Linked DNA regions of Oryzias latipes. The protein of the gene in region 7 interacts with the protein of the main gene of each other region in a pairwise test. Links are inferred from orthologs where the notes say so. Each region holds a gene or a part of one and is shown on either strand. Other genes may lie near its edges.

What was found.
Region 1: the proteins of sumo1 (region 7) and zcchc7 interact in binary tests that used the Homo sapiens proteins (3 or more experiments, as listed by UniProt). The link is inferred for Oryzias latipes from reciprocal best matches to the Homo sapiens genes SUMO1 and ZCCHC7.
Region 2: the proteins of sumo1 (region 7) and topors interact in a two-hybrid assay, tested with the Homo sapiens proteins (2 studies listed by BioGRID). The link is inferred for Oryzias latipes from reciprocal best matches to the Homo sapiens genes SUMO1 and TOPORS.
Region 3: the proteins of sumo1 (region 7) and sox2 interact in binary tests that used the Homo sapiens proteins (3 or more experiments, as listed by UniProt). The two-hybrid records come from large-scale screens. The link is inferred for Oryzias latipes from reciprocal best matches to the Homo sapiens genes SUMO1 and SOX2.
Region 4: the proteins of sumo1 (region 7) and atf2 interact in binary tests that used the Homo sapiens proteins (3 or more experiments, as listed by UniProt). The two-hybrid records come from large-scale screens. The link is inferred for Oryzias latipes from reciprocal best matches to the Homo sapiens genes SUMO1 and ATF2.
Region 5: the proteins of sumo1 (region 7) and sall1 interact in a two-hybrid assay, tested with the Homo sapiens proteins (2 studies listed by BioGRID, with this or other methods). The link is inferred for Oryzias latipes from reciprocal best matches to the Homo sapiens genes SUMO1 and SALL1.
Region 6: the proteins of sumo1 (region 7) and rad54b interact in a two-hybrid assay, tested with the Homo sapiens proteins (2 studies listed by BioGRID and IntAct). The two-hybrid records come from large-scale screens. The link is inferred for Oryzias latipes from reciprocal best matches to the Homo sapiens genes SUMO1 and RAD54B.

The regions. Positions count from the first base shown.
Region 1 is NC_019859.2:12,787,742-12,791,835, reverse strand, and holds part of zcchc7 (zinc finger CCHC domain-containing protein 7), read right to left. Parts: coding exon 4,019-4,094; intron 2,692-4,018; coding exon 2,493-2,691; intron 1-2,492.
Region 2 is NC_019859.2:15,568,431-15,573,215, forward strand, and holds the start of topors (E3 ubiquitin-protein ligase Topors), read left to right. Parts: upstream 1-1,764; 5' UTR 1,765-1,914; intron 1,915-4,225; 5' UTR 4,226-4,228; coding exon 4,229-4,785. Other genes in the region: ndufb6 (NADH dehydrogenase [ubiquinone] 1 beta subcomplex subunit 6), read left to right, coding at 368-412, 501-566. UniProt on the Homo sapiens protein: Functions as an E3 ubiquitin-protein ligase and as an E3 SUMO1-protein ligase. Probable tumor suppressor involved in cell growth, cell proliferation and apoptosis that regulates p53/TP53 stability through ubiquitin-dependent degradation.
Region 3 is NC_019862.2:18,600,559-18,604,117, reverse strand, and holds sox2 (transcription factor SOX-2), read left to right. Parts: upstream 1-1,618; coding exon 1,619-2,587; downstream 2,588-3,559. UniProt on the Homo sapiens protein: Transcription factor that forms a trimeric complex with OCT4 on DNA and controls the expression of a number of genes involved in embryonic development such as YES1, FGF4, UTF1 and ZFP206. Binds to the proximal enhancer region of NANOG.
Region 4 is NC_019879.2:22,381,308-22,385,871, forward strand, and holds the start of atf2 (cyclic AMP-dependent transcription factor ATF-2), read right to left. Parts: upstream 3,257-4,564; 5' UTR 3,181-3,256; intron 2,556-3,180; 5' UTR 2,528-2,555; coding exon 2,480-2,527; intron 1,633-2,479; coding exon 1,536-1,632; intron 1,436-1,535; coding exon 1,317-1,435; intron 1,214-1,316; coding exon 1,088-1,213; intron 764-1,087; coding exon 585-763; intron 1-584. Other genes in the region: atp5mc3 (ATP synthase F(0) complex subunit C3, mitochondrial), read right to left, coding at 4,151-4,265, 4,356-4,546. UniProt on the Homo sapiens protein: Transcriptional activator which regulates the transcription of various genes, including those involved in anti-apoptosis, cell growth, and DNA damage response.
Region 5 is NC_019861.2:30,113,000-30,117,805, forward strand, and holds the start of sall1 (sal-like protein 1), read left to right. Parts: upstream 1-1,623; 5' UTR 1,624-2,450; coding exon 2,451-2,523; intron 2,524-4,806. UniProt on the Homo sapiens protein: Transcriptional repressor involved in organogenesis. Plays an essential role in ureteric bud invasion during kidney development.
Region 6 is NC_019874.2:17,754,120-17,758,755, reverse strand, and holds the start of rad54b (DNA repair and recombination protein RAD54B), read left to right. Parts: upstream 1-1,728; 5' UTR 1,729-1,971; intron 1,972-2,450; 5' UTR 2,451-2,475; coding exon 2,476-2,613; intron 2,614-2,880; coding exon 2,881-3,061; intron 3,062-4,139; exon of another isoform or gene 4,140-4,636. Other genes in the region: RING finger protein 151-like, read right to left, coding at 14-129, 312-329. UniProt on the Homo sapiens protein: Involved in DNA repair and mitotic recombination. May play an active role in recombination processes in concert with other members of the RAD52 epistasis group.
Region 7 is NC_019860.2:9,899,658-9,904,076, reverse strand, and holds sumo1 (small ubiquitin-related modifier 1), read left to right. Parts: upstream 1-1,963; 5' UTR 1,964-1,984; coding exon 1,985-1,996; intron 1,997-2,370; coding exon 2,371-2,445; intron 2,446-2,697; coding exon 2,698-2,775; intron 2,776-3,587; coding exon 3,588-3,659; intron 3,660-3,735; coding exon 3,736-3,804; 3' UTR 3,805-3,825; downstream 3,826-4,419. UniProt on the Homo sapiens protein: Ubiquitin-like protein that can be covalently attached to proteins as a monomer or a lysine-linked polymer.

The DNA.
Region 1 (4,094 bases), on a different chromosome or scaffold from region 7:
CTGGATTCAAGTTGGGCTTCAGCACACCCCGCCTATACCCTGGATCCTTTACACAAGGACGTGCACCCTTTCTGGGTGGGAGAGGCAGGCGGCTTGAATCTTGGGAAGCCCATTTTCCATCTCTTGTTCCGTTTGGTTGCTGCTGCATAGCTTCAAGACAAGCGGGCAGCTCCAGTTTATCCGCCTTTTCTAATCTTTTCTTTTTTAACTCATCCAACGTCCTCACAGATCCACCCACCGACAGCTGCCCCTCACAGCCAGGTGCTAGACAGCCACTTTTCCAAGTGTATCAATGTTCTATATAAAAGGAGAAAACTAATCAATAAACGGTGCAAAATGTCTTTAATTTTACTTTAAATATCCTTCCTATGCCAACTCAGAGCTACAGAAATACTTTTATTCTTTTTTTTTCTATTCTTATAAGTTAAAACAACAAAAAAGGAGGTAGTTCTTTAACTTGAAATGTTGGCATCATTAGTGGTTCAAAATATGGTTGTTTTTTAAGGTCTTTTTTAATTTTAGTAATTTAGCACTATATTCTATTTTAAACTTTAGGAGGATATTGGGAATCTCTGCCTCTTGTAATGCTTCATGTTTGCTGAAGAACAACCAAAATTGTGTTTTTCTTGTATTACTATACTTTAATAAAATCAAATATAGTCAAAAGGTTTTGTTTTTGCTTTATTTTTTAAGCACCATCAGAAATAACATCTCCTCTCTGAGTGGAAAAGGCCCTGCGTATTCATCTGTATATAAAGAGTGGCATGAAATCAGCAGAAACGTCATGTTTTCCCAGCATTCCCTCCTTGTTCTCCAGTGTTTGTTTCTGCTATGGCTTATGAGCATCAGCTGATTAACTCAAAAGCCCTTAACTTCATCGACTACGTTTGAAGCGAGCGTCGGCTAAATTGTATCGTCAAGGAGTCAGATGTTAAGCCGGCATCATCGCTGGGGAGACTTTTTGATTTCCAACCAAAGGCAAGATCAGAAAAGGTGGAGACTGAAGGGTGAAAACTGAAATAACAAAAGAAAAAGTTACAAAAAGATGTTCACCTAAAATACTTTAGATTTTCTATCATAATGGCCTCACAGGTGAATTGCATTGTGGGAGACTATCAATAATATGTAACAATTAATTTTGATGAATTATATTGTTTGTTTCTTTTTCTATTATAAAAATAGGTCTGTTTATCATATTGTTATGTATTTCAATTAAAATATATATATATATATATATATATATATATATATTAATTACTATTTATAGTTGTCCAACAAACCTTACATTTGTGGTTAGAGGGATTGATTTGGAAGTGAAAATAAATGTTTGTCAGAATAAATTCTAAGGATCCTTTTCTCTCCTCAAGAGGACTTTAGCCATGTAGGAAACTCATTTTGGCATTGTTGCGAGCTGACGACAACAGACACAGTATTCGCTTTGATTTTGTCACCGAGCAAGGAATGGGAGTGCGGTTCAAGACTACTGAGGCCCGTCCCTTAATTTCCTTGCCTTTATTTGCCCCCCTCCCTCTTTTTTTTTGACAAAGCCCAGCTCCATTCCTCTCACTTGACTCTTTCTACTCCACACCCGTAACCCCCAATGTGCAGACATGAGGTCAAGCTCCAAAGATCACAGAGAGAAGCCAGACAAGAGACAGGAAGACAGAGACCTAAAATCCTCCTATCCTCCCAAAACCAGGCCAAGACCTCAAGCCTTCCCACCAGCTCCAGACCCCCCCTCCCTTTTCTTCAGCCTTGCTGTGTGTAGAGGAGACAGTGGGCACTCTTGCAGAAACACCAGCCCAGGGAAATTCAAATGAGGGGGAAAAAAATGGTAAGGGAGACAGAGATGGGAGGACAATAGTGAGAAAATGGGATAAAAGAAAGATGGGAGAGTGTGGAGGTGGGGGGGGAGGGGGCTGCTGAGGCTGCAGGTTAAGATAATGTAGATCTAAAGAGATTTGCAGGAAACATTTTTATTCCTTTTCTGATTACCCCCCCCCCCCCCCCACACACACACACACACACACACATACACCTCCCACGCACTCCCGCTTTCCCGTTTGTTTGTCTGTTCTCGGCATAAGTGTTACGACTGTTGGTATCCGTGTGTATTTACACATGCATGCTGATTAGAAATTGAATATTTTATAAGCACCACCCCACACACACATATTAATACATAATGCACACAGGCATACTTAAAGATGCATCAGGGAGGAGAGCAACCAGGAAACAGACAGTGCCAGGAATGCTAAAATGTACAAATTTCAAAGCACAGCTGGTCCACAAACATACAGGTTTTTTAACCACGTAGACAACATGGCCTGCTCCTAATCATTTTGATGTGTGTAAACTGAGGGGCATGGTACAAGTCATTACTAAAGGTGTCCATCCTTCAAATCCTTCTTGTGAAAATGCACCAAAAAACTAACAAATTATAAATATTTTCTAGTAAGTTTTCCTGCTGACACATAAGAACAAACGCTCACCTGTGCTGCTGTCAGAAGCCCCTTCAAGGTGAAGCGAGATGGACTGGTCCTCGTCCCGCTTTCCTTGACCCAGAATCATCCAGTTCTCCAGATCCTCAGAATCTGATGAATCGGAGGAATCCGATGTGGTTTCGGACTCTGAACTGCTGCACAATACGGCCACTGGCACGGCAGGACTTCTGCTCCTCGTCTTGGTTTGCTGGGTGATCAGACAGTAAACATTTTTCAGCTTACACTGCTGCAGGTCAGCCTGTCCAACAAAGAGCAGCAAAATCTGCCATTCCACAAACCAGAATAACCCCCTTTATCGTGTAAAAAAAAAACGTAAAATACGCGACATGCTAAAACAGGAACGAGGGGGCGTTTTTGGAGAGATCAAACTTACACAGATGCCCTGAGAGTGACACAAGAAAACTTGCTCAACCCAGTCATTTCATTGGAAAAACCAGCATCCAAGAATTCACAGGTATTTGCTTTGACACACATTACCCACTTCATTTTTCTAGTGCTTACTGTGCTTGAGCTTTTCACTTTCAACAGATTCACTTAAGCTGATAAAAGGCTAAAAAGGGGAAACTGCTACTGGTTTTAGTCTTTAAGGAAAATCTGAAATGGTTGACGGTTAAATTTCCAGTTATCAAGTCCTGGAGTTTCTGTTTAAGGCCCCAATGAAAACCTTTAAAAGACCCACTCTATTGAAAATGGCGTTTTTGGTGTCTTTCAAACGTTTTTGTCATTTTTTTCATGAAGGAGGACATGCATAGAGAAAATTAAGTTAGAAATTGCGTTTCTAAGTATTTCTTTATTCAAATTGTGGTGAATCAAACAAAAAAAAGTCTGAAAAAGCCTGTTGCTGTGACGTAGACGCTACAATCGGCGGGCCACAAGCTCCTTGCTCTGCTCCATTGCGATGCATCTATTTGTAGACGACTAGATTCAAAGGTCGTCTTAGTTTTCCTCGTCTGAGCCGACATCTGGCTCAAAACTGTACAGCTGGAAAGCTCAGATGCTGCTTGCCATCTTTGTTGGACCACATATGTTAGCTTGGGCCTATGAGGGGCTGTAAGATAGCGGGAGAGCGTGTCAACTATTACAGTTGTGCCTAACTTTAAAAAAAACAAACAAAAAAAAAACAGCACACTTTTTTTCTGCATCCTGCTTGGCCGGAAACCTTGTCAATCAATCTCCTTTTTTCCCCTGTACAGATACATGCAGCTCTCCAAGTCCACATAAATCTTCCATGAAGATCAGATCTTTATTTTCATTCTCTAAGACTGGACTTATTTTTCTACAAATGTTTGAACTTCGAGAGTTTAAACAAGAGAGAAAAGTCTGAAAATGTTCATGTCTTTTTGAGAAAAAGGGTATAAAGTGTGTAGTGAGGGGTTTTACAGCCCTAAAGCATCTGTGAACCTACCTTGTGGGTTTCACCCATTGTGGGTTATATTTTTAGAAACGTACCCCCCATAATAAATGATGGAACACTAGTTTATTTCTGATTCAGGGTATATTACAGTCTCGTCTACCTGTTGTGCTGGAGTGGAAGTCTGTTGTTTGGGTAAAGCTCCGCCTTTCGAGGAACAGACTCCATCAAAATCCTCA
Region 2 (4,785 bases), on a different chromosome or scaffold from region 7:
ATTTATCAATGAAGAAGAATTTAAGGGATTTCAGGCATAAACATAGAAATATTGTATACTTTCAAACACCACATTGTGTATGCACACATGTCCTTGTGTGTCATCAGCAGCATCTTCAATTTTACTGCAGTCAATTTTTAATAAATCATTCTCAAAATATGGATAGTGTTTTCTAAATATGTACATTATGTTATTAATGCGTATCAGTCAGTCACAAGTGTTTCTACAGTATTGTCAAACTTTTTAGAATTTTCCATAGATACAGTATTGTGTCTGTTGTGCATTTTGTTTAGATGTTCACTTCAGTTAAATGATCAGAGCCGTACACCTGACAGCACATGCTAATTATGAATGCTTTGTTTTCCAGCAAAAGCCCTACGGCATTGTGGAACTAAAACCCAGACTGTTTCCTGTAAGTTGTCTTCATTTTTGGCTTTCTGTTTGTGGTTATTGTATTCATCATAAAATATATGTATATAATCAACCTTTTTTCTGTTCAGGGTGACACCATTCTGGAGACCGGGGAAGTTGTTCCAGATCTCCCAGAGACTCATAGCCATCATTAAAATCAGAACTATTTCAGTCATTTTCTTAAATTTCTGTTGTAAAAACTATGTAAATTCCATCAAAGTGTCAATAAAGGCTAAAAATATAACTTCACTGGTTTCTAGTGAAATTATTTCTACAAAAAAAGATTATATTTCAATTAATTGTCATTTATTAAAGAACATAGAAATGCAGCATAATGCAACTTGATGCATTAGGTTTTGCAGCATTAAGGTCAGAATATTACTCATGGTGATATTAGTGACAGAAAGATTTAAACTTTTCTTAGGATAAAGTCAGTTTGCAGATATAATCATCTAATTCTTATACAGTAACTGTTAACAATCATGGGAAACAAGGACATTAGAAGATAGATTTAGATTTTGTGTTGTGATTTATGACCAATGCATTAATCTCCCACTCCCATCATTTTTTGATCTATTGTAAAAGCATTTCCAGTGGTCTTTCAGTTATGAGAAAGCAGTTTTTAGGCAAAAGTTAAAAAACTACAGTTTTCTAGGACAGTTTCTGCAGAGCAGCAGTAGTTCATCAGAAATTCACCTCTGAGTTGTGGACGGAACTGTTGGCGTGGAGTAAGCCTTCACTCATTTCCCATCATCCCTTTCTTTACTCTCTCTCTCCCCCACTAGCTTACAGCTCACAACTGGAGCCAGTTATACACTTATAATGCAGATGCCATCTCAGACGAGGAAAACGAAGACGATCATGGATCTATTTGTCAGCTAGTGGATGTTTTAGAATGAAGGGTAGCAGGGAAATTGTGGACCTGTCAACTGTAGCACCTACGTCAGCGTTATAAGATTTTTCCAACAGCAGTTTTTCATCTAACGAACTCAAGACGATTTGAATAAACAAATACTCCCAAATGCAATTTTGATCTTAATTTTCATATGCATGTCCTCCATTGTGAGAAAAATGCTACAGGAAGATGTTATAAACCCCAAAAACAGGATTTTGGGGTCTTTAATTTTCTTTTAATGGGGAATGGTACTCTTTTCATTAGATCGTTTAAAGTTAGACGTGCACTTATAGGCCAATAATGGGCAGTAATGCATTATTGGAAAACTGTTAATGTTTTCAATTTTTTGGCCATTTCCTACGAACATAAAAATGTAAACAAAGTTCCTGTCTACAGTCAAGCTATAATTTCCTGTGTTTGGACTTGTTGACATTTTATTTTGAAAATCGGAAACCTGTACCGACTATTAATAGCTTCCGTAATGAAGTCTGAGGAAGGAAGGGTTAATACGACCGTTTACTTTTTATTTTTTTTTAAATTGACTGTGTTTCTACCAGACTAGAGGTTTAACCCATATCCTGTGGCACACGGCTTCAACGAAGTCGAAGGTAAACTCGACACCTTTTTTATGAACTTACTGAACCGATGTGTGGTTGTTTTGTTAGCTCTGCTGGCTAAACTTTAGCCGCTGTGTGTGCTAGCCAACTTAGCTAGCCTGCTAAGTTTTATTGGGGAATGTATCCCCTTATTATATTATACTTACTGTTTATGTGTTTGTAAAAAATAAGTCTAGAAATATTGGAGAGGCTTATATGTTTGTGTCAAGCCTATACTTGGGTTTTGATGTCATTAGCTGCTCAAGACAAGAAATCAGGCTATTAGCTTAAACAGAATCAGACAAACAAAACACGAACGTTACAAATTACAAAACGACATTTGACGAAATATTTGATAGAGTGCGAAAAGCTCTTTATCCTGACGCTCTTTCAATTGGAGAAAAGAATAGACTCAGATAATCATATTTCGGGGGACAGTGTTAAAGTATGGCGATGACGATTATGAAAGGCTGCCATGTTATAACACGTACAGTAGACTCATTCTCTATGTTTATTTTAACTATACATACGATAGAAACAGAAGGTCAGTGAAAGTATTTGAGGCTTTGGGTAATTTAATATTAGTTAAAAACCGTGTTGATAAAGAAAACAACACACATCTTTTACCATTAAGCGTTCCAACAACTAGTGTGATGTCACTACATTTAGCATGACCAGGACAACCTTGCATGAGAAACCTGCCTCACGTTTCTCATGTAAGCCTAGACACTAGTGTTTTTCATTCTTTACCAAATAAATGTAAATAATATCATATATTTGGATTGTATGTTGAGTAAAAATGCTAATTGGGCTTTGTCACTGTATATGTAAAGGTGTTGTCCATATCTGTGATCTATGCACCATATGTTGTTGGATGTTCAAAAGTTCAAAAGTAAACAAGAGTATAAGTACAAGGCTGCGGGAGAAGAAAGGAATTAAGTGTTATATGTCTACATCTAATACTTAAAGCATAAAATTGACAGCTCAGGATTTCTGTTCAGCCCAATGAGTGTTACATTTCCCCTCAAATTCATGCCAGACCCAAAGTGATCCAAACTGCACTGCATATTACTTCATTAATTGTGATGTCAAACTTGTAAGTTTAAGATTTCTGTACCAATCCCTATTTTACTTAGAGCTAGAGCCAGATTCCTAAACCAGCTCCATTTAGTTTCAGAAGATCATGTTTAGGTATGAATTAATATTAATTACTTTTCCAAATTAGCCCTTCAAACTTACATTTGATTAGTTTAAAAATAAACAAGAAAATGTTAAATTTTTTCTTTTAAAATTATTATTATTACTTTCTTTTGAATGTATTTCTTTATTTTACTTTATTTATTTTATTATTATTCATTTTTTTATTTTTATCTATTTTTAGTTCTCCATTTATTTATTTTCTTTTTAGGTGTGTGTGTGTGTGGGGGGGGTGCTAGTCCATTAGGGAAGTCAGGGCATGAATGGAGGGGCTGGACCTCCTGCCCCTCTGGGTTGGCACGGGCCCCTTCCTTGCTGACTGTCTCTCGGCGCTGTCACGGCTTTGGCCCTTGTCTGCGGCTGGCTTGCCGCCTCCTGACTGCCTGGCTGCCCTGGGAGGGGGGGCGCCTACCGCGGCCGGCTGGGGGAGCCTTCTTCCCCTGGTTGTGCCCATCCGCCTGCTCATCCCCGCTCCCACCCAAACAAACGTTGCACACAGGCACATAGGGCTCCAGAAACTGGATGGGTGGGACATGCTGGCGGGGCTTACTGGGGGTGACTCTCTCTGGGGTCGCATCGGCGCCTACCCTCCATTCCATTCCACTTTTACTTTTACTTTAGACACCCTGATTCATCTAGGCCCTCTTTTTGTGATAGTAAAACCTGTCCAACACAAAAGGACTTCAGCTCTAATCTGTTTGCTCAATATTTTTAGGACTAAGTTTAACAAAACCAAAATGATTGAATTGAACTTTTCTTCGAAAATGATTTAGTGATTCATTTAGTTTTTTTGCAGTGATACTCAGCCTTAGTCATCCCTAAGATTGAAAACTGAGAAACTATGTGAGCACACATGCTAACAAATGTTAACTTGTGCATAAAAAACAAAAGCAAATGCTTTATTTAGATTTAATTTGTTCACTGCCAATTTCTTGACTAGTAGTCTCTGCATGAAGCCAAGTGAATGTTTTCAGCATTTAGTGATTTCACATCTTTTTTCAAAATGTGTTTAAGTCTCCTCTTAAATTCCCCTGCATAAATAAAAAAAGGACTATACTGATAAGATCATAAGAAATTTTATAAGGTTGACCTCTATTTGAATTTTTTTTCTTCATTTTTTTTCCAGATCATGTCGGCTGTCAAGGTCGCCCTGCAGCACGCTCAGAAAAACGGCAGGAGAAAAACCTCTGAAGCGATGTCTGTGGAAGTGTCTCCCGACTCCAAGTGTCCCATCTGTTTGGACGGTTTTCACAACGTTTCTTACTTGGATCGTTGCCTGCACAAGTTCTGCTTTCGCTGCATTCTTGAGTGGTCCAAGAACAAAGCCGAGTGTCCACTCTGCAAACAGCCGTTCAATACAATCTATCACAGTATAAAATCCGAGCAAGACTTTCAAAAGTATGAACTGAAGCAGCAAGTGGAGAACTCCTCTTTTGGGTATTTCGAGGGAGTGAGGTTCAGGTACCGCACCACTCTTACCGGTGTCCATCGGCAGATGCGAGGAAGAACCTCTCCGCCTCCGGATAACGGGGTGATGTTTGAAGCTTCGGCGCATCCTCCCTTTCAGCGGCAAGATCGCTACATTCGGCGCATGATGGCGCGGTTGGCAGCCAGAAGGAGAGCCGAGAGCGAAGGCAGGACGGTGAACAATGTCAGAGAGCAAGAGATGGTAAATTTCCGAAGGGA
Region 3 (3,559 bases), on a different chromosome or scaffold from region 7:
ATGGAACTCTAAACAAGTGGCACAAACACTTTCAGCCTCATAAAACTTCACTTGTTTTCTGTCTGTTTGAGCCACGCGAGTATGTGGTTTGATTTCGCACTGCGTTTGATTCCAACTTCACCTCACAATAATCCCAGTCTGGCCGTTTCTTGATCCAGGACTAATTGAAGCGCAGGTGAAGGCCGCGTTTTGATTCCCACTAATTGGCTGACACACTTGTTGGAACTCCTATGAATGTGTAGATCTTTTGTGCGAACACACTTTCATCTTAAAATATTCCTCACCTTTCATTCGGTCCCTGTCTCGTGTCTCCGGTGCGCGTACCACGCCACAAAGACCCATGCGTAACTGCAGCGCTGGCACTGTGGAAGTGGAAGTGGAGTTGGGGTCTTTGTCCGGACAGATGTAGCGACAACATCCCAAACAAAACGCGCTTATTTGTGCTAAGATGAGGCCGTCTGCCTTCTGTGTGTGTTGGCATTCAACTTCACCTAAACAAAAGGACTGGGGGAAACATCTTGGATTACCTTTTCTCTTTTCAAGGCTAAAAAACGAGCCGTGGACACCCCCCCCCTCTCCACCTTCTTTTACGCACACATTCACCCCACAGCTCTGCTGTTCAGAGCTTTCAGTGAGTTAACTCACAAAGTTTCTTTGCGTGTTATGTTATTGGGCCATTAAGTAGGGTTGATTAAGTGGCTTTTTCATTTGGTCTGGATATGCCTCATATTTCATCTAAAAAACAATTTAGAATAAAAATAAATCTGTTCTTTTTTAAAAGAAATAGTGTCATGTTGCTTCAATATGTCTAATTTAATTTTAAAAACGTATTCAAAAAGTAGTCTTTTTTTTTTACTTGTACTTATTAACTTTTTACATTTTGAGCTTTTAAAAGTTACAAAAAAGTAATTTCTGATTTTGAAAATGCTGCATCTCTGCGTCGTATAAACTTCCACCTAAAAGGTGTAACGTATTCACAAAGCGCTATCAAACATAGAAATTCCCACAAGCAAGATGAAATAGTAAATATGTACTTAGTATTGTCTGATATGGGCAGCAGGAGCCGGAGTGTACGCCTGTGCCTCGCTGCGCTCCAGACTCCGCCCTTTTCCGACCACACGCTCTCCCATTGGCGCGCGGGGCTCGCTCTGATTGGTCAGGCCGAAGCCATTTATTCACTGACAGCCCCTTCACATGAATGGTTGTCTATTAACTTGTTCAAAAACTATCTGGAGTTGTCAAGGCTCAGGCGGACTGAGGCGAAAAAGTACAGTTTGTTGATGCTTTTTGCGAGCAGCCGCGGGAGAAGTTTTGTGGACACAACATTGCCGGGACGTGTTGGGAGAAGGCTCTCTGTCACACACACTCACACACACACGGTGTGACACGCTGAGTGGGAGTGAGAGGGGGAGAGTGTGCGGAGACGCGCGGCTTGATGCTCGTTGTTTTTGTCCAGAGAAAAGTTGCATAGAAAATCGGCAGGTAACTGAAAGCGCTCGTGCGCTCCTCTGTCTGCGCTCAGCTTCTGGAGAGAAGCTCCTTTTTTTTCTTTTTTCTTTTTTTTCTTGTCTTTTTTTTCTGCTCGGGAGCTCCCAGCGAAAAGTTAAAATTTTCCCTGATGTATAACATGATGGAGACTGAACTGAAGCCCCCTGCTCCCCAGACCAACACGGGGGGCACGGGGAACACAAACACGTCCGGCACCGGCACCAACCAGAAAAACAGCCCGGAGAGAGTCAAAAGACCCATGAACGCCTTCATGGTGTGGTCCCGAGGCCAGAGGAGGAAGATGGCGCAAGAAAACCCCAAAATGCACAACTCGGAGATAAGCAAGAGGCTGGGCGCAGAGTGGAAACTTCTGTCAGAGAGCGAGAAGAGACCTTTCATCGACGAGGCTAAGAGGCTGAGGGCCCTGCACATGAAGGAGCACCCGGATTACAAATACCGGCCCCGGCGGAAAACCAAGACCCTCATGAAGAAGGACAAATACACCTTACCGGGCGGGTTGCTGGCTCCTGGAGGAAACGGTATGGGGACCGGGGTCGGTGTCGGGGTAGGGGCCGGCCTGGGCGGTGGGGTTAACCAGCGGATGGACAGTTACGCGGCGCACATGAACGGCTGGACCAACGGGGGCTATGGCATGATGCAGGACCAGCTGAGCTACCAGCACGCAGGTCTGAACGCGCACAACCCGAGCCAGATGCAGCCCATGCACCGCTACGACATGAGCGCCCTGCAGTACAACTCCATGACCAGCTCCCAGAGCTACATGAACGGCTCCCCGACGTACTCCATGTCCTACTCCCAGCAAACCACGCCGGGTATGACCGCCCTGGGCTCCATGGGGCCCTCCTCGGTGGTGAAGTCCGAGTCCAGCAGCTCCAGCCCGCCCGTCGTCACCTCCTCGTCTCACCGGGCCGCCCCGGGCTGCCAAAGCGGTGATCTGAGGGACATGATCAGCATGTACCTGCCCGGGGCGGAGGTCAGCGAGCAGACTGCCCAGACCAGGCTACACATGTCCGGCCACTACCAGAGCACCGTGCCCGGGACGACGATCAACGGCACGCTGCCGTTAACACACATGTAAGGGACAGAGCGCAGGAGGGGGGCAAAAGCAGACTTTTATAAAAGCTACTGTGGACTACTTAATGTTGGACTATTTTTGTACAGAAAAAAAATGGGTGAGAAAAAGTTGTATAGAAATCTTCAAGAAAAAAAGGGACTTTTTTTTCTTTCCTTTTATCCTAAGGAAGCATAGAGGAACGGTAGATCCCCTCTTCACTGTTGGATGAAGTTTGGAAGACTAGAAAGTGGGAGTCGCAATCAAATGTTTTATTATTGCAATCACCTTTTGTACAGTATTTATCAAAGAAACATTACAATCAGATGAAATTGTTTGTTAATCTGCAAGAGGTTGCATTTTTATTTTCCTTTTTTAATTATTATATATATATATATATATAAAGCTGGTTCTGCAGAGAACATTAAAAGTGAAAAATAGCAGAACAAGAGTAATGGAAGTGATCAGTTATGCTTCCAATTAAAACATTGGAATAAAAAGGGACAAAAGATGCAGGTATTTTTTTTTTTCATTTAAGGTCTATATTACTAAACATTTTTTATTTCATTAAAAATGTAAGACACTTCTTTTTTTGTCATACAATATCAATTTTAGATTGTTAATTTATATTTCCGTCTCCCACTTTTCAGCTGTTAGCGGTATGACGCTTGTGCTCATTATTTTCTAATTGATTTGTAAAATTTCTGTATATTTACTGTGATATTTTAATTTGAAAATTTTCATTCCCGTAGTTGTATTTTGAAAACTTGTGGCCTGTACGCAGAAGCCAACCACTCCATGTATATATTACGAGAACTAATACCATCCTTATAACAGTTACAATTTCAGCTGAGTATATTTTTTTTCAATATGCAGTTTGAAATGAATAAATTTTGGAAATTTGGATACTTGAAATTGTATGAGTTTTGATTTGGTTTCTGTTATTCATATGTGTGCAGGGAGTCATCACATGTTTGTGTTGCCAGGTATTCACGTATG
Region 4 (4,564 bases), on a different chromosome or scaffold from region 7:
GAATATAACTTAAATTAAACTCCAAATGAGCCTCATCTACATCAGAGGGCGAGCATCTCACATAGAAGAGTTCCATCCGTTTGGTCAAATGCATAAAGGGAAACATTTCAATGTTAAATACTCTAAGCTGCCATGAGATTGTTTTAACACATTTAGGGTTAACATTTATTGCCATTTTCACCGACTTTTGCGATATGCATATATCACAGCTTGACAATGCGATAACGATAAATTTGCGACTTATTGTGCAGACCTACAAGAAAGTAAATCTACGCTACAGGATTCCAAATGTTGACTTATGCTGGTGTGTTAGAAGTAAAATAGTAGCCTAAAAATAAATCTATATTTTTGAACAGTACATAATGTGAGTAGCTTTTTAAAGATGTCGCTAAAATTGGAAGAATTCACAGTTGATTTGGCGTTTACAACAAAATGAAAGACTTACACCAGAGTGCAGATTGATTAAAAAAATAAACATAAAATACAAGCACATGCCTCACAAAATGCACAAAACTACACAAAAATGATTAAAAAAAACTAAAAACTAAGATTTGTTTTAAAAATGGACGCATTCCGTTACTTACACTATGGGTCTATTAGTGGATGGAACCTGGGTAATAACAGAGCTAGATGTTGGCGATGGGAGAGCTGGCTGTATTACAACATTAGCGTCCGTGGTTGCTAGAAGTACATTGGGAACTTGGAGGGATGCAGGATGGACTATAGTGGATGTTGGCAGTGAGGCAGGCTGCAAAGTTAAGTCCTGAAAACATCATACAAGACCTTAGCTGCAGAAATGTTTAGTGAACACCAGCTTAGTTAGTTACAAGAACTTTTTGCAAATATTTTTTTGGTTGGTTTTAGGATTTCCAAATCAAAATTAAGAGCAGTGTTTGAATAAAAAAAAAAAAGAGAGTGGGGTTTGAAAATAAAAAACAAATAAATCGAAGAATTCAAGCAGGTGAAAGAAGAAGTACAATTTCTATAGTAAATGAATGATTACAGAAACAGGAGGATTCTTAATTATTCATGTTTAATAGCACTCCTAAAACCCATTAGAGAGCTAACTAAACAGAAAAAAATCTACCTTGTCATCGTTTGTGGTGGACTCAGGATGAGGAAGGGGGCTGTTCCGATGTGCATCTACAGCTGCGGGTTCCTCAGTTTTGTTGCGTATGACTGGTGTAGCAAGAGGTGACAAATCCAGAGGTAGCTTTGGGAAGGTTAAAAGAAAAAGAAAAAAAGCAGATATAAACTCTGGACTTCAGAGATCATCCTAAGAGAAGATTTGACAGAAGTTACAGAACAAACTCAACCTTCTTCAAGTCATCTTCAGCTGCTTTTTTGAAGTCATGGTCAAAAGGACTGGCAAGTTCGTTGAAAAGCCCGACTTCCTCGCAGTTTTTCAAAAAGCGAGTGGGTGTCGGCGTTTGATCTGTAATAGAGAAAAGAAAAGATAAAAGAAGAAAAAAATCACACTTAAGGAGGCAAAAACACACAAACATCTATAGACATAAAACTTAAGAAGGACTCACCAGCAATTATGATATTGTCGGTCCTCGCTGGGCCAAACTTTAGTGTCATCTCGTGTTTGTGTCTGTGGACAGCCAAGTGGTCTTCATTTGTAAATCTCTGAGCAAGGTAAAAAGGAAATAAATGAATAAAAAAACAACTTTATTCTGCATATCCTTTGAGAGACAACAATGACTCACAATGTTAAATATGTTAAAATACTAACAATTTCAAAAAGTAAACGGTGCATTGCTAAAATCCAAAGAAATCAAACCCTAAATAAACATAAACATAGGCTTAATGTGTGTTTTTATGTTTATTGTGACTGTGCGCGTACATTTACCACAATAATTACATATTTTTACCCTTTAGCCAACTTTACTTTGGCACTAGAAATTAAACAGTTGATGTGACTTCAAAAAAGAGATGCTTTTTATTATTTGACCCTTTTGTGAATCCTCAAATTGGATGCAGACTCAGGCTTTTATTAACTCCAGTGATTCTGTTTTTAAGTGGATTTATCTGTACCACAAATAATCACAAATCCTTCAAACAGTAACTTCAGCTTTTAAAATGTCTGATAAGAATGCACAAACTACGTTTTTTAGTTGAATTATTCGATATTATCAGCAAAGATAGCAAATGTATGTAAAATGTACACATTGAGTACCCAAATATTTGGTTACCATATTTGATGCATATATATATATATATATATATATATATATATATATATTAAAGTTAGTCTCTGGAGAAATACAACTACCGTATCTCAAAACATGTAATATTATAATACCTTCAACGTTTTTAAATAATCTAGAATGTAAAGATGTAAGCTCAACAACTCCACCATATAAATTTACAACACATTGGAATTGGTTTTTTTCCTTCTATTTTTCAAAAAATAAAAATAACTGAATCACTAACTAAAAAGAAATAAAAACTATGAAGAACTATGTCAGCTTACCTGTCCACATCCTGGAGCAGTACACTGGAAGGGTTTGTCATCACTCATATTAAGAAATTCTTGCTATATTTTTGTCCTACAATAAATGAATAAAAACAACATATTTCATCTCAATTAACTTAATTTCCATTTAAAACAGAAATAAATTCAACAGCCACAGAAAAGACAACCACGTAATCGTGGCTGATCAAAAGGAGGGTTAGAGGGTTAATTTTTAGATAATAGTAGAAATGACTCGAGACTCGAGTGGGACTGTTAAGGGCAAATCTAGTGAAAGGACAAATAAGATTTTGGACAAAGCCAGTGAGGAGGTGGGGTTGCTCTGTCTGTGCTTATTTATTAGCTCGGTGATGCAGTGCAGGGTCGTTCGGTGTGTGGTCGTTCGGATTGTGTATTTTTCAACACGAACAAAGAAATTATGCATGTTTTTTGTTGGAAAAAAAAGTTTCACGTTTAATTCCGACTAAAGTCATCACACAACAAAAGCTACATTATGATCCGATCCTCCGCTCCAGCCTGAGCTGAGATAACGCACAGCCGTCGCCATGTTAGAACCAACAAATCACTAAACAGATAACCTTTTGGTATTTAATTTGAGGGGGATTAATTTCACTTGGAAGAAAATAACACCGATTTCAGATAAAGGGTGCCCTTTTTTGCATTTGTAATAAAACTCGCTTTCAATTTGAGTTGTTACTTACCCCTTTAGCCACAAACGTTGTTTTCCCAAACCCCAAAGTATCGCGAGAAAACAATTTCTTCTTCCGTAAACGTCACACTAACCCAAACGCCGTAAACATACTAATGGACACTAATAAACCCATTTACCCATAAATTTACCCATTTACCCATAAATTCAATATTTTATAAATAATTGCCATCATTTCTACTGCATTACAACTTTATTTACAGTCTACGGAACCACCTCAAGTTAACATTCCTTTTTTACTCAAAGGCCAAATTTCTTTAAAACAATTCAATTTAGAGAAACATTATCGTGTACTCTATATTAAATTAAATCACAAGGAACTATTTTTGATTGAAGCAGTAAACAAACCACATGGGTAATTTATATTACAAAAAAAAAAAAACATTTGGTCAACTTTGTTGCCAAATATTACTAATTTACTGACTTCCAAATGACAATTACTTTTTAACTGAGAATTTTGTTCTGATGGACCGTTTTAGTGGCAACTCATTCATTTGACAAACCTCGAAACCCTGTTGGGGTCGGGAAATAAATTCAAAAACCCAAATTATAATTCAATCTAGATTTATTCAACGTGATTTACAAAAGCAAGTAATCACTTGTTGCCTCTTACAGTTCTACTTAACTGCAACTGAGTTAAGTGCTTATGACGGTGGACCCCATATAACTCTCAGAAAGCAAGTTGATTCACAAGGGGAGAAGATGTTCTGACATTTGTGAGAGCAAACTGCTTTCAGTTACCATGATATTCCAGACATAGACGTTGCTGCCACTGATAAATACTCAAATGCATGTATTAAATTCACGCACATTGTTATGTTTGTACATGTTTTGTTTAATTTTGACTGTGTCGGAAAGACTTGAAAAATTTACATTTCCATGACACCAACACTGAACAATTTTAGAAGCCACAATAAAATATGTAGTCACATCTGTAATGAAAGTGTTGGGAGGGCAGTGCTTTACATTGCAAACAGGATCAGAAAAGCAACCATCAAACAGAATAGTCCCATAGCTTCAGACAGGGCGAAACCCAGGATGGCATATGAGAACAGCTGCTGCTTCAAAGATGGGTTCCTGCAAACAAAAAGAAGTCAATAAATGTAAAGAAAACATTTGAATTGTACCCCAAAAAAACATGTACACAGTGACCAAATGGCAACAAACCTGGCATAGCCAATAATGAGACTACCGAACACTGTTCCAATTCCAGCACCAGATCCAGCGACTCCGACTGTAGCGGCTCCAGCACCAATGAACTTGGCGGCGGTGTCAATGTCCCTGCTGATGGCACTGGTCTGGAAGCCTCTCAGTGTGACCTGTGTGAGGGGGCTTTGTGGCATCACAGCAACAGAGCTCTGCAGCGAAAGACAAAA
Region 5 (4,806 bases), on a different chromosome or scaffold from region 7:
TTACTGCCGCATTATGCGCTTAAACGCGCGCAGTTTGTGGGCTTTATGATCAATCATGACGTGTCAGAGATAATAGTGAATGATGCCACGCGGGCCAGGCCCTGTCTGATGCGGTGCACGCGATATTGATTGCGCGTAACAGGCAGATGCGCAGTTTTTGTGCGTCAGACCGCCTTCAGTCACTTAAAAAAATGTTTTGCCGAACATCAACTGGGGGAATGCATTTATTTTATTCAACTTCTTTGATTTTGAACATTTATTCACTTTACATTATATTAAAAAACGAAAAATAAATATTTTTAAATATTGTGAAAAAGACGTTTGATTATTTTTCGCAGTTTGCCTAAAAACACAAAAACTTATTGTAATGCATTTCTAGTGAAAAAGTTTGTGTTGCGTCCAGAGGGACCCCAAGCTCTATGCATCCTTGTCATTCAGCCCGTTTGGTAACACTGTACCGTCGTCGTCGCGGGTGAATCCTATTTAAAACGTCCACCGCTCGGCTGGGCTGCAAATCAGCTTGTTTACAATCTCACACCAACACTCACATCAATTAACTGGAAATTGATTTTCCCCTCTCTGCAGTCTTATATATATATATATATATATATATATATATATATATATATATATATATATATATATATATATATATATATATATATATATATATATATATATATATATATATATATATATATATATATATATATATATATATATATATATATATATGATCACTCAGTGACATCAGAGGTTCTGTTTGATTTTCCTCTGCACGTTCTTTTTTCCGTCTTTTGTGATGAATAAGTAAATAGTGAGACTAGTCGAAACTAAAAGATAGCTGACACGGGAGTGGACCAGATCCATCTAGCCTGCAGCTGCTCTTTAAATATTTAGTGAAAAATAATGGCGTCCAAGACATCACCTATAGTAACATTATTATCTTCATTTCTCAAAATCAGGGCGACTGAGAGCTTCGTTTGTCTTTTTCGGGTGATAAATCGACACCAGCCACGTGAAGCTCCTGCGGGACCTTTTACCCTCTTAAAACATCACAACTAAGGCGTATTTTCGTTGGTATAAATAATAATATAAATTGTCATTTTGAAATATCGAATGCAATTGTAGTTATTTTTCTAACCTAAAGAAAACATAAACAACAGAGCGACATTTCAGACAAATCAGTGAACCGTGTATTTTTATTTTATTTTAAAGAAATGTCGCGACTGTTGATTCTCCTGGTCACAGAACCCAGATGGCCTCGGTAAACACAAGTTTTGCACTTAGAAAAAGACAAATGCAGATAAGTTTGAACCTTTGGGTGCGTTTCAGGGTTTCTCTAACAAGGAAATGTTTTGGAAACTAAGTGAACGCGCTATTTGTTCCCATCCGGACGCACAGACTGGAATCTTTGCTGTCTCCCCCACCGATCATCCAGACGCGCGCAGCACGTTTGGTTCTGCTGCGCGCTTTCAGAAAGAGAGAGAGGATTTTGAGAGGAAGGGGTGTGGTTGAGATGGGTGGAGGTGAAAAACAGCGTGACTGAATAGCCCATTGACCAATCACGTCTACAGTGGGCGGGGCTCCGCGTTGTCCCACTGCCGCACGGGCCCTCAAAGTTTGTTTATTCGCGGAATGCGGTGTGTGATGAAAACGTGTTAGTAAGTAACTCCCTTTCTGCCAATAATAATCATATGAAAGTTGTTTGGACGCCAAATCACAGCGTGGACTTTTTTTTTTTGTTTCATTACTGGAAACGCGTTCCGCCGGTGCCATTTACGCACGGACCATGCCCGCGCGACGCTGCGTTTCCATGCGCCGGCAGCCGCGCTCGAAACTCTTCACAGAGTAGGTGTTCAGCACAACAAGAGCCGAATTACAACAATCTTAATGCGAGAGCAGAGGGCGGACACTTCGAGAGCAGAGAGAAGAAAGTTGGTTGGAGATCGCGGAGGTTTGCGCAGCGCTCTTCATCTGCGGGAAAGGAAAAGAGCAAAGAAAAAAGCTGAGATCGGCGCTTGATCAGTGTGAGAGCTTGAGAGATACTCTTGCAAGAATGGACTCAAGAAGCTGACATTCCCCTGTAGTCAAGATAAGCTTTGGCTTGGCTAACAGAAGGGGTTAAACCGTATCTAAAGGGAGTGTGGAAAAGCCAGCCTTTCTTCCCCGTACGGATCAACTCATTGGGTGGGAGCTGAGAGAGAGACAAGAGTCCCCAGCAAATCAGGAGCTAATTGATTAAAGAGACTTCATTTGAATAGGAGGGGGGCTGGCGAGGTGCCAATCGCCTTTCAAAGAACCCCCCCTCCCTCCCTTATGATTAATCGTAGAGCATTATTGATAATCATAACGGGGCACATGCGCGGTGGATGGGCTCGATTTACGTAATTTTTCAGGAGGTTTTGTAGTCATTTTTTTATTCTTTGCCTGCTGATGTGCCAGCCAGCATGTCGCGGAGGAAACAAGCGAAGCCGCAACACTTCCAATCCGACCCTCATCTGCCTTTATCAGAGCACAATGGTGAGTCCACGCAAACTATCGCTCCTTCTGGAGAAGCGCCGGCTATTTCTCACACTTTTAGCTTGGTTTTTGTGCAAGCGTTCCTGGTTAAAGTTAATAGTTTTCAAAGTTTAACTTTACTCTCCTTTTTTTAATTAATCTCCTTTCAATTATTTTTCTTTACGATTTTTAACAAAAGTTTCGTTTATGGAGTTTCTTTGATTGCAAAATAAAATTTAAAAAGACGTTTTTTTATCATATTTCCTATTTTGTATTAAAATTATTACACAACGTTTTTCACTTAAAACAGAAAAAATCAGCTTTTGTAAAACTCACCGACGCTCTCCACGCGTTTCTAAAGTTTCCGAACTTTTCTTAAGTAAATATTATAATCTTAACACTTAAATCTTAAACAAAAGTAAGACATACGCTGAAAACTCACTGTTGGTGGAGTTTTCGTGGGCCCCTCTACAGTGGTCAGTCTCGATGCGCGGACACGGACCACCCAGTCGCGCCAGCGGGACTCCAAATGGTGCTGCGTCCCGGACACATAACCCCCTCTTCCGCGTGTTTCAGTTCGGCGCTGCGCTGATCAATCCAAAGCTGTCGCAATCCCGTTTACCTTATATCATTTTTATCAGCACATCCGTGCGTAAATATGCACATTTGTGCTTTTTTTGTCCTGTGTTTGGTAAAAAGTGGCTCCAAAGTGCGCGAAAGAACTTGCAGCTTTTTTACAAATCCTCAATGGTTCCGTTACTCATCCTTTTTGCACAGATAGAAGAAGCAGAAATAACTTAATCACTTTAAACACACGCAAATACGAGTAGAGAACAACTTTCTGGTTATAATAAAAATCGTTTGTATTTAATTTTGTAGATTGTGTTTTTTATTGTATTAAAATAACAAATCTTTCTGTATTTTGCACGCGCAAGTTCAGGCCTTAAAACTTTCCAGAGCCTTAACAGAGGCGAGAAAAAAAAATCTACTGTGAATGCTTTGTTATCAAAGTGTCGCTTTGCACCTTGAATGAAAAGCAGTGTTTGGAAAAAGTCCCCTTGCGGGTCCAAATCCCTGCAACTCTGCAATCTGAGGATCTCAAAGTCTGAAATTCAAAACATTTTTAAAACATATTTGTTCTCAGTTTGGTTCTGGAAAATTTATACAATTGATAAAGAAAAAGGAAAACGATTAATTTGTGTGTTGCGTCATCAAAGTAAACGGCCAATTCTGCAGTTCGGTAACACTCATTCCATTTTTGCATTTTCTTATTTTTTGCTGTGTGTTTACCGGCAGAAGGGGATTGTATATATATATATATTATTATATATATGTACGTTTTTTAGAAGGATCACTTGAATTTGTTAATAACCCATACACAAGGATGATATATTTTTCCCCATAAAAACGAACAAAAATGAATATGACACTTATTAGTGTTTATTCCCTGGAAAATCATTTGTGTGGTGAATAATCTCAGCAGGGCCTTGTGTTTGGTATTGAAAAGCATGTGCAGCTCATTTTGAATGGGGTTTTTTTTCTTGTAGGAGAGATAGTCCTGCATGGAAGAGTATTTTCAGACTAGTTCATGTGATTTTTAGGAACTTGGTGGATAATGCAAAACCTGCTTATTTCCTGAGTGCGGTTTTCATTTTCTGCATTTTCCTCCAAATCTAATAAAGGAAGAAGTCACTTTTGTCACCAACTTCAGCAGTCTGCAAAATCCTACATTTCTCCAATTACACCCAATGGTAGCATGTTAAAATACCTGCAAGTGTCTTGTGTGTGTGATTACGGGAGCAGGGAGATGTTGTCTTAGCATTAAGGGGTGTTTTGCTCGGACGGAAGAAATGTGCTGCTTGACTTGTGAGGAGTTGTGGTAGGCGGAAGTGGAAAAGAAAGGCGTTGTGTTTGCAGCTGAATCGAGGGATGCTGAGGGCTGTAGCTGCTGGGAGGTCGGGGTGAGAGCCACAGAGGGGGGGATGTTTAGCTGTTTTAACCTTTGCCAGTGTCCCTCTGTGTGGAGGTGATCAGAGTTCAGGGCCCGTGTGCTTCTCTCTGCTTCGCCGTTGACCCTGCTGGTCGGAGCTGCAGGCGGGCCAGCAAGGCCCAGTTCTTTATTTAAGCATGTGTGAGATTGTGAGGCCTTATCAATGTTATGACCATCCCCTCATGCCCTATCGAAGTGGCCCCCCTGGGGGGAAGATTGGCAGCAAAACCCCCTTTTTGCGCTGTTGCTCTTCAAACACAGAGCATGGTCGCTTGTCAAGTTGCCAGTGTTTATGTGGTGTGAGTGTAGGTGAA
Region 6 (4,636 bases), on a different chromosome or scaffold from region 7:
GATGGAGACATACCGGTACAGGGGTTTGAGGTTGCTCACATCTAATGGCAGTCTGTCTTCTGGACAGGTGTGGTGATGAAGCAGCCAGCTGCTGATGCAGGAGCTGCAGTAGGCATGTTCACAGGGTGCCTGAAGGGGGCGTTCAAGCACATCTCGGCACACACAGCACAGCAGACCTTCATTCACGTAGCCTACAAACCTCTCTAGATCATAACCCATCCTATAGAGGATCAAACAGGTTGCACAGAGGTTGTTACATTTCCTGTGCAGTTTACTTGTTTTTCTACTTATTTGCTTTTAATCTCTCTTACCTGAGGATTTGACTTCATCCAGCTCCTCCTGTATCTTGTAGACTTCACCTGCACCTGCTCAATCTATTTGATCACACTGTAGAGGCTCTCCTTCATCCTGAAGCAGAGGGTCTCCTGCTCCTCCTCTTCCTCTGGGAGAGCGTTTCTATGGAGAGCTAACTCTGACAACAATGGTGCAGGATACAGCCAGGCAGGCAGCTGTCGGACAAGAGCAGAGGGACAGACAAAAAAGCAGTCAAGTGTTTCACGAACTGTCTAAAGCCCAGTTGTTACACAGCCCTTAGAGATAATAGCTGCTCCCCTTAACGGCGAAAGTTATCTGAGGTTTCTCTGTTTGTCTAGAGCTGTGGGATTATCGTGGATTACACTCTTTTCGTCCCTGATTGGATTGCAAAGTACACACCATCGGATAGCACGTAGCACATGACAACAGGAATCAAAAGATCACCTTCACTGCCCATACTTATTACCCCTGTCCTTGAGTGTAATGGAATAAAGTCGAAAAGAAAGTAGTAAAAAGACCTTTCTAAAATGGTATGAAGTAAACCAAAGACTTCACAACTAAATGAAGTTAAACTTTCCAGATTTTCTAAACAAAATAGAGTTGGAAATATTAAAAATAGTGACTATTCACTAAAAAAAAGCTGCTTTTAATTCCACCAACAAACGGTTCAATTAATATTTGTTCAGATTTAGTCATTACTTTTCACTAAAATTATTATTTTGTTAAATGTACACCTCTATGCTCGATTTGCTGCTGTCATGGACCACAGAAAAGATCTGAAATACGTTTAGGAGAGCTACTCAAAATGTGTGGACATAAACTGGACTAATGCTTGGAATGTTAGTAAAAAATGTTGTTTAAATAACAAAATAAAAGAGGTGTCCTTCAAAATATCGCATTGTATATATCCTGCCAAAAAAAGAAGATTTGTTGATTTGTTGTTGAAAGAGGAAACCATTTATCACCTGTTTGTGGACTGCATACATACAAATATGTTGTAGATGGAAGTGGAAAATTATATAGAAAATTTAACTAAAAGAAACTGTACAATTTTTGGATAAAGAAATTATTCCGGGTTATCTTAATGACAATGTAGACAAAGATTGTATCTTTATTACATAGATGTTTTCATCATTTGCAAAATTCCATATTAATTAAGCCAAATGGTCCAACTCCAAACCTAAATTCCAGCATTTTTTGAATGAAATCAATCAGTACTGTAACATTATCAAACAACTGCAAAACCAAAAGGCAATTCGAACTGATTTGATTTTTTTTTTTTAATTTCATACACTGTATACGTATTTGTACGTATACATAATTTTTTTTTTTGTTTTGTTTTCTTTCTGCAATGTACATATTCAGTAACCCCTGAGACGTTCACTATTTTGTTCTATTGTGTTATTTGTCAATAAAGTCTGAAAAAAGAGGTTTAGGCATGCTGAAAGGATTTGGCTGTCCAGGTGTTCAAATCAAACATGCTTTTTTCTCATTTGACCACGCCTTTTGTTGACTTTTAACCAATCAGAACCCCCAAATAATTCAGCGGGAGACATGTTTCGGAAGTTGCCTTTTCCGCTTACACTGTGGGAAACTTATCAAGTTGAATTGGACGATATTTAAGTAATTCTCCAAAATAACATTTTCTCGTCGGTGGTATGTATCACGCATTGTTACAAAATATCATTACGGCCGATTTAAACTTTCGACTTGACCACGTGATAACAGTTAAACACAGCCTGTCGCTGACTTTACTTACTTCAAACTAGTCTAAAAGTAAAAATCAAAAACGACAAACGGAACCTGATAAAGGACAAAATACATAAATTGTCACTAGAGTCAACAAAAAAGTTTCAAAACTGTTTGTTGAAGAGTTTATATTTATATTGCGTTAATAGAAACACATTTTCTGATCCTGAGTTGCTAAAACGTAGAAATCTTTAGTCGGTTAAGGTATTCTAAATGCAAAAACTAAAAAAAATCACTAGTCTTTCTTGGTAAAGCATGCCTGTTTTAGATCACTTTTTTTCTTCTATACCTCTTTTTTCTTTAAGAATTTCAAAGGTGTAGCTATTGAAAAATTGCCTATGTTTTCCCCATTGTGTTTCTAAAATGTAGTTTATTTCTGTTTGTAGGGGGCACATTGACCTTTTATAAGGAATGAGGCGTTCAGGAGCACCCAGTCAGCTTTTGGGGAATGCAGTGAAAAAAACACGATTTGTTTCACCAGCTTCACTACTTCAAACTGAATCAAAGCCTTTGGCCCCCAAACCGGGTTTGGTGAATGCATTGGATAAAGTAAGTTCCTATTCACTGTGTTTAATTCTCAATTTTACTAATTTCTCTTTTTTTGAGTAGCTTTTGCAGTTTACCTTTTGGCATATCCCTTCAGGGGTCACCACAGTAAATCAGCTTTTCTAAATCACTAGAAGCAAAGAAATATCCACGTTCAGCGGTTTGACAGTCATATTTTTTTGCCTCATGTAAATTTAGTTGCAGGGATTACTAGGGACCAAAATGAGGACTCAAGTGTGTGTAATTAAACTGATATCACTTCTTTTGCAGGTCCAGAGAAGTCTATCTGTGGCAGTGGAAAGTGAAATAAATGTGTCTGCTAAAACCAGCCAAACTGCCCCTTTGTCACGGGCTCTGGCTCGAGTTCTCAGTGCTACTGACAGTAAAGAAAACGAGGCTGACACCAAATCCGTCCCTGGATTAAGAGATTTAACAGAAGATGAAAATAAAGGTATGTTTCTAATTGTTTGTGTAAATTTATAAGGCAGTACTACTTCTGTTGTATCCTAATGTTTTGGGGAGTCATCAGTAAAATAGTCCCTCTGGTCTACAGTAGAATTTTTTTTTTGCCCTTTATTTTTATACTTAATTTTTGTTTTTTGGTGGTTTTGATCTGACTCTTCAGGTAAACATATTTTGCAACCCAGTTTGTGTGTTTCATACAGCACTTTTTATTCAGTCTGACATACAAGTTTAATTTATCTACTGAAAAGATGTCAGTGTTGTAAAATAATATGCTTGACGGAATTAAATAATATCTGAATTTACTTTATATAACACTTTCAGCTAAACTGTAGAATTTATTCATCATCAGCATCAACAATATATATTTACTTTGTTTAAACTTATCACTTGTATTTCCTTAATTATCATAATAATGGGAAAACAATTTGGCTTTTTTTCTCTAACCTGCTCCACCAACATAAGCATGTCCCTTACAAAACTTTACAGACACATACACACACATACTTCCAAAAGGTTTTAGAAAACAATGCTTAAACATTCAAATTACCATTAAAGCTGACAGATCTAATTAGAACTAATACTGGATTTGGTATTGATCTTATAGACATTGCTAACGCTTTTAGTCAATGACATGACGTCTCACCTCCTGGGACAGACTGTCCAGGGTGTACACACCTTCGCCCAGCATAACCGTTACAGGTACTGTTCAATTCAATTCAATTTTATTTGTATAGCCCAAATTCACAACAACAGTCGTCTCGATGGGCTTAGTATCGGTAATTGAAAAAGTGAAACATGAACTCAAAAGGATCATGAATACAAAGAGTTCAATAGGAAAATTCTAAAATGAACTAACAAACTGACTAAGCTATACTGGCATCCCTGCCCTTAAACCCCTTTCACGGTAAGGAAAAACTCCTAAAAAAAACGGACTCCGGAAAAAACGAAGAAACCTCAGGGGTGCCTCCATGAAGGAGGGATCCTCCCCCAGGACGGACAGGCGATTTACCAGAACTCTTAGAGAAGAATTAACTTATCTAACTCTACAACTACATATTTAAAGTCCAGCAGACGAGCTTTATCCAGACGGAGTTGGGGGGACAGTAAGGGGCGAGAGTCGAGCAGGAGACAGGATCCAGAGCCAGGTGTCAGGGCAGGAGCAGAGACGAGGTACACGGTCAGGTGCAGAGCAGAGACGAGCCAGAGGCAGGATCCACAGCCAGGTGTAGGACAGTAGTACTGTTTGGTGATTTGGTTCGGACGGGTATCAAATTGCACAGCGCCGCTGAAATCGCGCTGCTGCCAGACCTTTGCACCACACCCGTCGCTTAAATCACACCACTGGACCTCAGCACGCGTCTCTACCATGTAATTAACTTTGAAAACTGGCTGCCTCTGCCGCGCCACTCGCGTTCGGTGTGAACACAGCATTGCCCTATCCATAAGACATGCTCCTAAACTTAACCCTTCCTCTGGGTCCGTGCGGCCAAGAAAAAAGTTTCAGCACTGGCTGCACGTATTTGGAAAATTACGTGTGAATAGTCACTTTCTTTCAGGCATT
Region 7 (4,419 bases):
CGACACGGTCGTCCAGGAACGCCTTTCCGTGTCTGTGCGCGACTGAAGGGCCAATTTAATCGACACCTCTCATTTCGTTGCACTTTACACCTTGGTTAACAGTGGCTCGGCTCGCCGTTGACCCTGGAGTTAAATCAAGCTTCATGAGAAAACACAATTCCTTATAACCGGAAGTACTTCAGTGCACCTACAAAAGTAAAAGCTTAAAGTGGGTTTCCTAATAAACATTGGCTTATTTATTTTACTTTGACAAAACCTCAACGGAATTAAGACTGCATTTAAACAAACTTCAATAGATGTGGGATCCTCGACTTCTAAATTTGTTTTGTTTTTTTTTAAAGAATGTCTACTATAAACTCTGCCATTCCAGAGTGATGGGGGGGGGGGGGGGCTTAAAAATGCCTTGTAAAAATCTAAAACAACAAGAGTATTTTAATTGACATTATATTAATTATCAACATGTGAAAAGTCTCTAATAAACTATGATTCTTCAAAGTTAGAATATTGAAGATTACATCAAATCAAACTTTATTTATATAGCTCTTTTCCTACAAAAGCACAACCGAACGTGCTTTGCACCAATACAAAATAAATAAATAATATAAAAACAAACACGAAAACTATATATACATTTAAAAAACGCCTCTCTCACCCTCCGCGGGTGGTTTCTCCTCCAAGCTCGGGTCCTCTACCAGAGGCCTGGGAGCTTGAGGGTCCTGCAGTATCTTAGCTGTTCCTAGCACTGCGCTTTTCTGGACTGAGAGGTCTGAGGTCTTTCCAGGGATCTGTTGTAGCCACTCCTCCAGCTTGGGGGTTACTGCCCCGAGTGCTCCAATTACCACAGGCACCACTGTCACATTCACTTTCCATGCTTTCTCCAGTTCTTCTCTGAGTCCCTGGTATTTCTCCAGTTTCTCATGTTCCTTCTTCCTGATGTTCCCATCGCTTGGCACTGCCACATCCACCACAACGGCTTTCCTCTGTTCTTTATCCACCACTACAATGTCTGGTTGGTTCGCCATTACCATCCTATCAGTCTGGATCTGGAAGTCCCACAGGATTTTTGCCCTCTCATTCTCTACCACCTTCGGAGGTGTTTCCCATTTTGACCTTGGGGTTTCCAGTCCATATTCTGCACACATGTTCCTGTATATTATTCCAGCTGCTTGATTGTGGTGCTCCATGTATGCTTTCCCTGCCAGCATCTTACACCCTGCAGTTATGTGCTGGATTGTTTCAGGCGCTTATTTGCACAGCCTACACCTTGGGTCTTGTCTGGTGTGGTAGATCTGAGCCTCTATTGCTCTGGTGCTCAGGGCTTGTTCCTGAGCTGCCAGGAGGAGCGCATCAGTGCTGTCCTGTAGGCCAGCCCTCTCTAGCCATTGGTAGGACTTCTTGATATCAGCCACTTCAGTTATGGTCCGGTGGTACGTCCCATGCAGGGGTTTGTCTTCCCATGAGGATCTGTCCTCCAGCACTGTATCCTCTGCTCTCCATTGCCTGAGACATTCACTGAGCACACTGTCGGCTGTCGACTGTTTCATCCTCTCTCTCTCTCTCTCTCTCTCTCTCTCTCTCTCTCTCTCTCTCTCTCTCTCTCTCTCTCTCTCTCTCTCTCTATATATATATAGTTATTTATTAAATTATCATAAAATGCTATTTTTTAAGCCCATGTTAAAAATATATAAATTTAATCTAAACATATATATTGCATTTGAATATTGAACAGGAGTAAAGACTTCATAATACTGGAAAAGGCAAGGTTTTTGTATGAGTGTGTGTGTGTGTGTGCGCGCGCGCGCTTTTCTTATGGAGACAATCCGCTACAAAACAAATTCCTTCACGCGACTTTTATTTTGAACAGCCCTGCGTCACTTCCGTTTGATGTCGCATTCCTCACAACATAAAGCAAGAGCCACCGCTAAAAGCTAACGCTACACCTTGAAGGGATTCCCTCCCCCTCCCGCACACAGTCAGGATAAACATGTCAGACACGGTAAGAAAAAGAACGTTGAAGAGTTCGAATGATTTTCTGTCAACACTTTACTAAGAAATCGATAATGTGTTTGTTATGGACGCTGCCTCGTACGTGATTATCTAACAACATGCTAACCGTTAGCTGTTCTAGCTGCAGGCCTCTGACTGAACTTAGCGATTTTTTTTTACCCTCCACGTGAGCTTTTGTGTAGTTTTTTGAGATTTTTTTTTGGGGGGGGGGTCAGAACTGGTGCTGGCGGGACCGAACCCACACTCGTGTCTATGGTGGATGTTCTCTGTGTTCGTGGAACCCGCGGAGTAAACAGACGGGCCTTCCTCGAAAGCGTGCTAGCGGTCGCATCATGTAGCAATGTTTTGTGATGTTTCTGTCAGGAGACGAAACCTTCCAATCAGGACGGAGGCGACAAGAAAGATGGAGAGTACATCAAACTAAAAGTGATCGGTCAGGTAGGTTGTTTTTGTGTCTCTGCTTTTGTTGTCACTACTGTCTGCATTTAGAAATAAACCGTATTCTACTCCATTTCAAATAAAGTTATGGCACGTGGTGGTGTCTCTATTATTGTTTATAGAAGGCTATTATTTTTGGTCAATGATTCTGCCAATTCTTTATCATTTACAGATGTATTCGTTTTAATGCTGGAAGTTGTTATTGTTTTTGAGCTGCATCACCTTTTTGTGTGTGTCCGTTTCTGCCCACAGGACAGCAGTGAAATCCACTTCAAGGTGAAAATGACCACACATCTAAAGAAGCTGAAAGAGTCTTACAGCCAGAGACAGGTATGAAGAGGAAGACGCATCGCCACTTTTCCAATGACAGCCTTCGCAGATCCATCCAAATGCAGTTCCTTATGGTAGAACACGCCATTATTTAAAAAAAAGATAACTCTGATCATCTTTTGATCTATTGCAAAAAATAAAAAGTTCCTAGTGATTTTTATTTATTTTTTTGACACGCTCTCCCGCTAGCTTACTAAGACTCCCAAGCTAATATTAGCAGTGCAACAAAAATGGCGAGCAATATCGGAGCTATCCAGCTGCACAGTTTGGATCCGGATGCTCGGACGAGGAAAATAAAAAAAAGTTACACGAGTCTATTTGTCTGCAAGGGAGCCTTGTGGCTTGCCGTAGTAGCTTTGGAATCATACCTGCAACCTTTTTCCAACTAAGTTTAATTTTGTCTGCTCCTGATTCACAACGATTTTAAATATAAAAAAAAAATAACCCAATTTTAAATGTAATTTTAAGCTTAATTTTCTTTAACCCTTGTGCTATCCTAGGCCCTTTAACATTAGGAGTTGGGTCATCTAGACCCACTAGACAGTGCGCTTAACCTTTCTTCTTCAATGATTTGTGATCTTCACTGGTGTCCATGGATTACATGAAATCTTTCCACTTTTGTCATGGTAGGGAGAACACGTCAATGTAAGGGTGGGGTCATCTAAGATAGCATAAGGGTTACACCTAAAAGCTCGTCTATGTAATCGTTACTCGTGCTCCTAGCGCCTCGCGGCGGCGTTCAAGGAGAGCTGATTGAAGGAAAAATAAAAATCTCCTAATGGTCTAACAGCAGAGGATGACGTTTCTTTCAGGGAGTCCTGGCGAGCACGCTACGGTTTCTTTTTGAGGGACAGAGAATCGCAGATAACCAAACCCCAAAAGAGGTAAGCGACACTCGCAAGAGCGAAAACCAAGCACTAGTGGTCACTAAGGTTTGTGTTTTCTTCTGTTTTTTTATAGCTGGGCATGGAGGATGAGGACGTCATCGAAGTTTATCAAGAACAGACCGGCGGACTTTGGAATCATTAAAGCCACAATTTCTGATGTTTTTTTTTCTTCTTTTTTTTCCCCTTTTATTCATGTTTTTTATCATTTGGTTTTGTATGTATGTATGTATTTCTGTTAAGTTTCAAACCATCTGAATCAAAAAAGCAAAAGGACTCAATCAGGGCTTCCATGTGTGCGGTCGGGGAGGCGGACAGACCGAGGACTCGAACCTGTGGCTCTGCCGTCGGAGGACACTCTAAGATTTTTACCGGCAACCATTTCGCTTTCGTGTTTTAAATTTTTATTTTATCAACCTTGCTGGAATGATGTGCTTTTGCAGGAAAATGGTTTTTAGGAGCTTCTTCCTCCCCAAAATGTTTTTTAAAATTGTCTCATAGAGGAAATATGTCAGATGGCATTCTGGGTAAGTGCGGTTACAGAAACCGTAAAAAGAAACCGATCAGAAGCATACCAGAGCGGCATGCTTCTGATCTTTCCATCTATTCAAAACAAAAAAAGTTGTTTTCCTGGAACGGACCAAAGCGTCTGTCCAAATGAAGGGGGGCGGGGCTAAACGAGGGAGCAGGTCCATTTCCTGTTGATCTATTCCACTCTCAGATGAGGTTGGGTCCTTCTTTTCTCCGGGTCGCCAAGTCG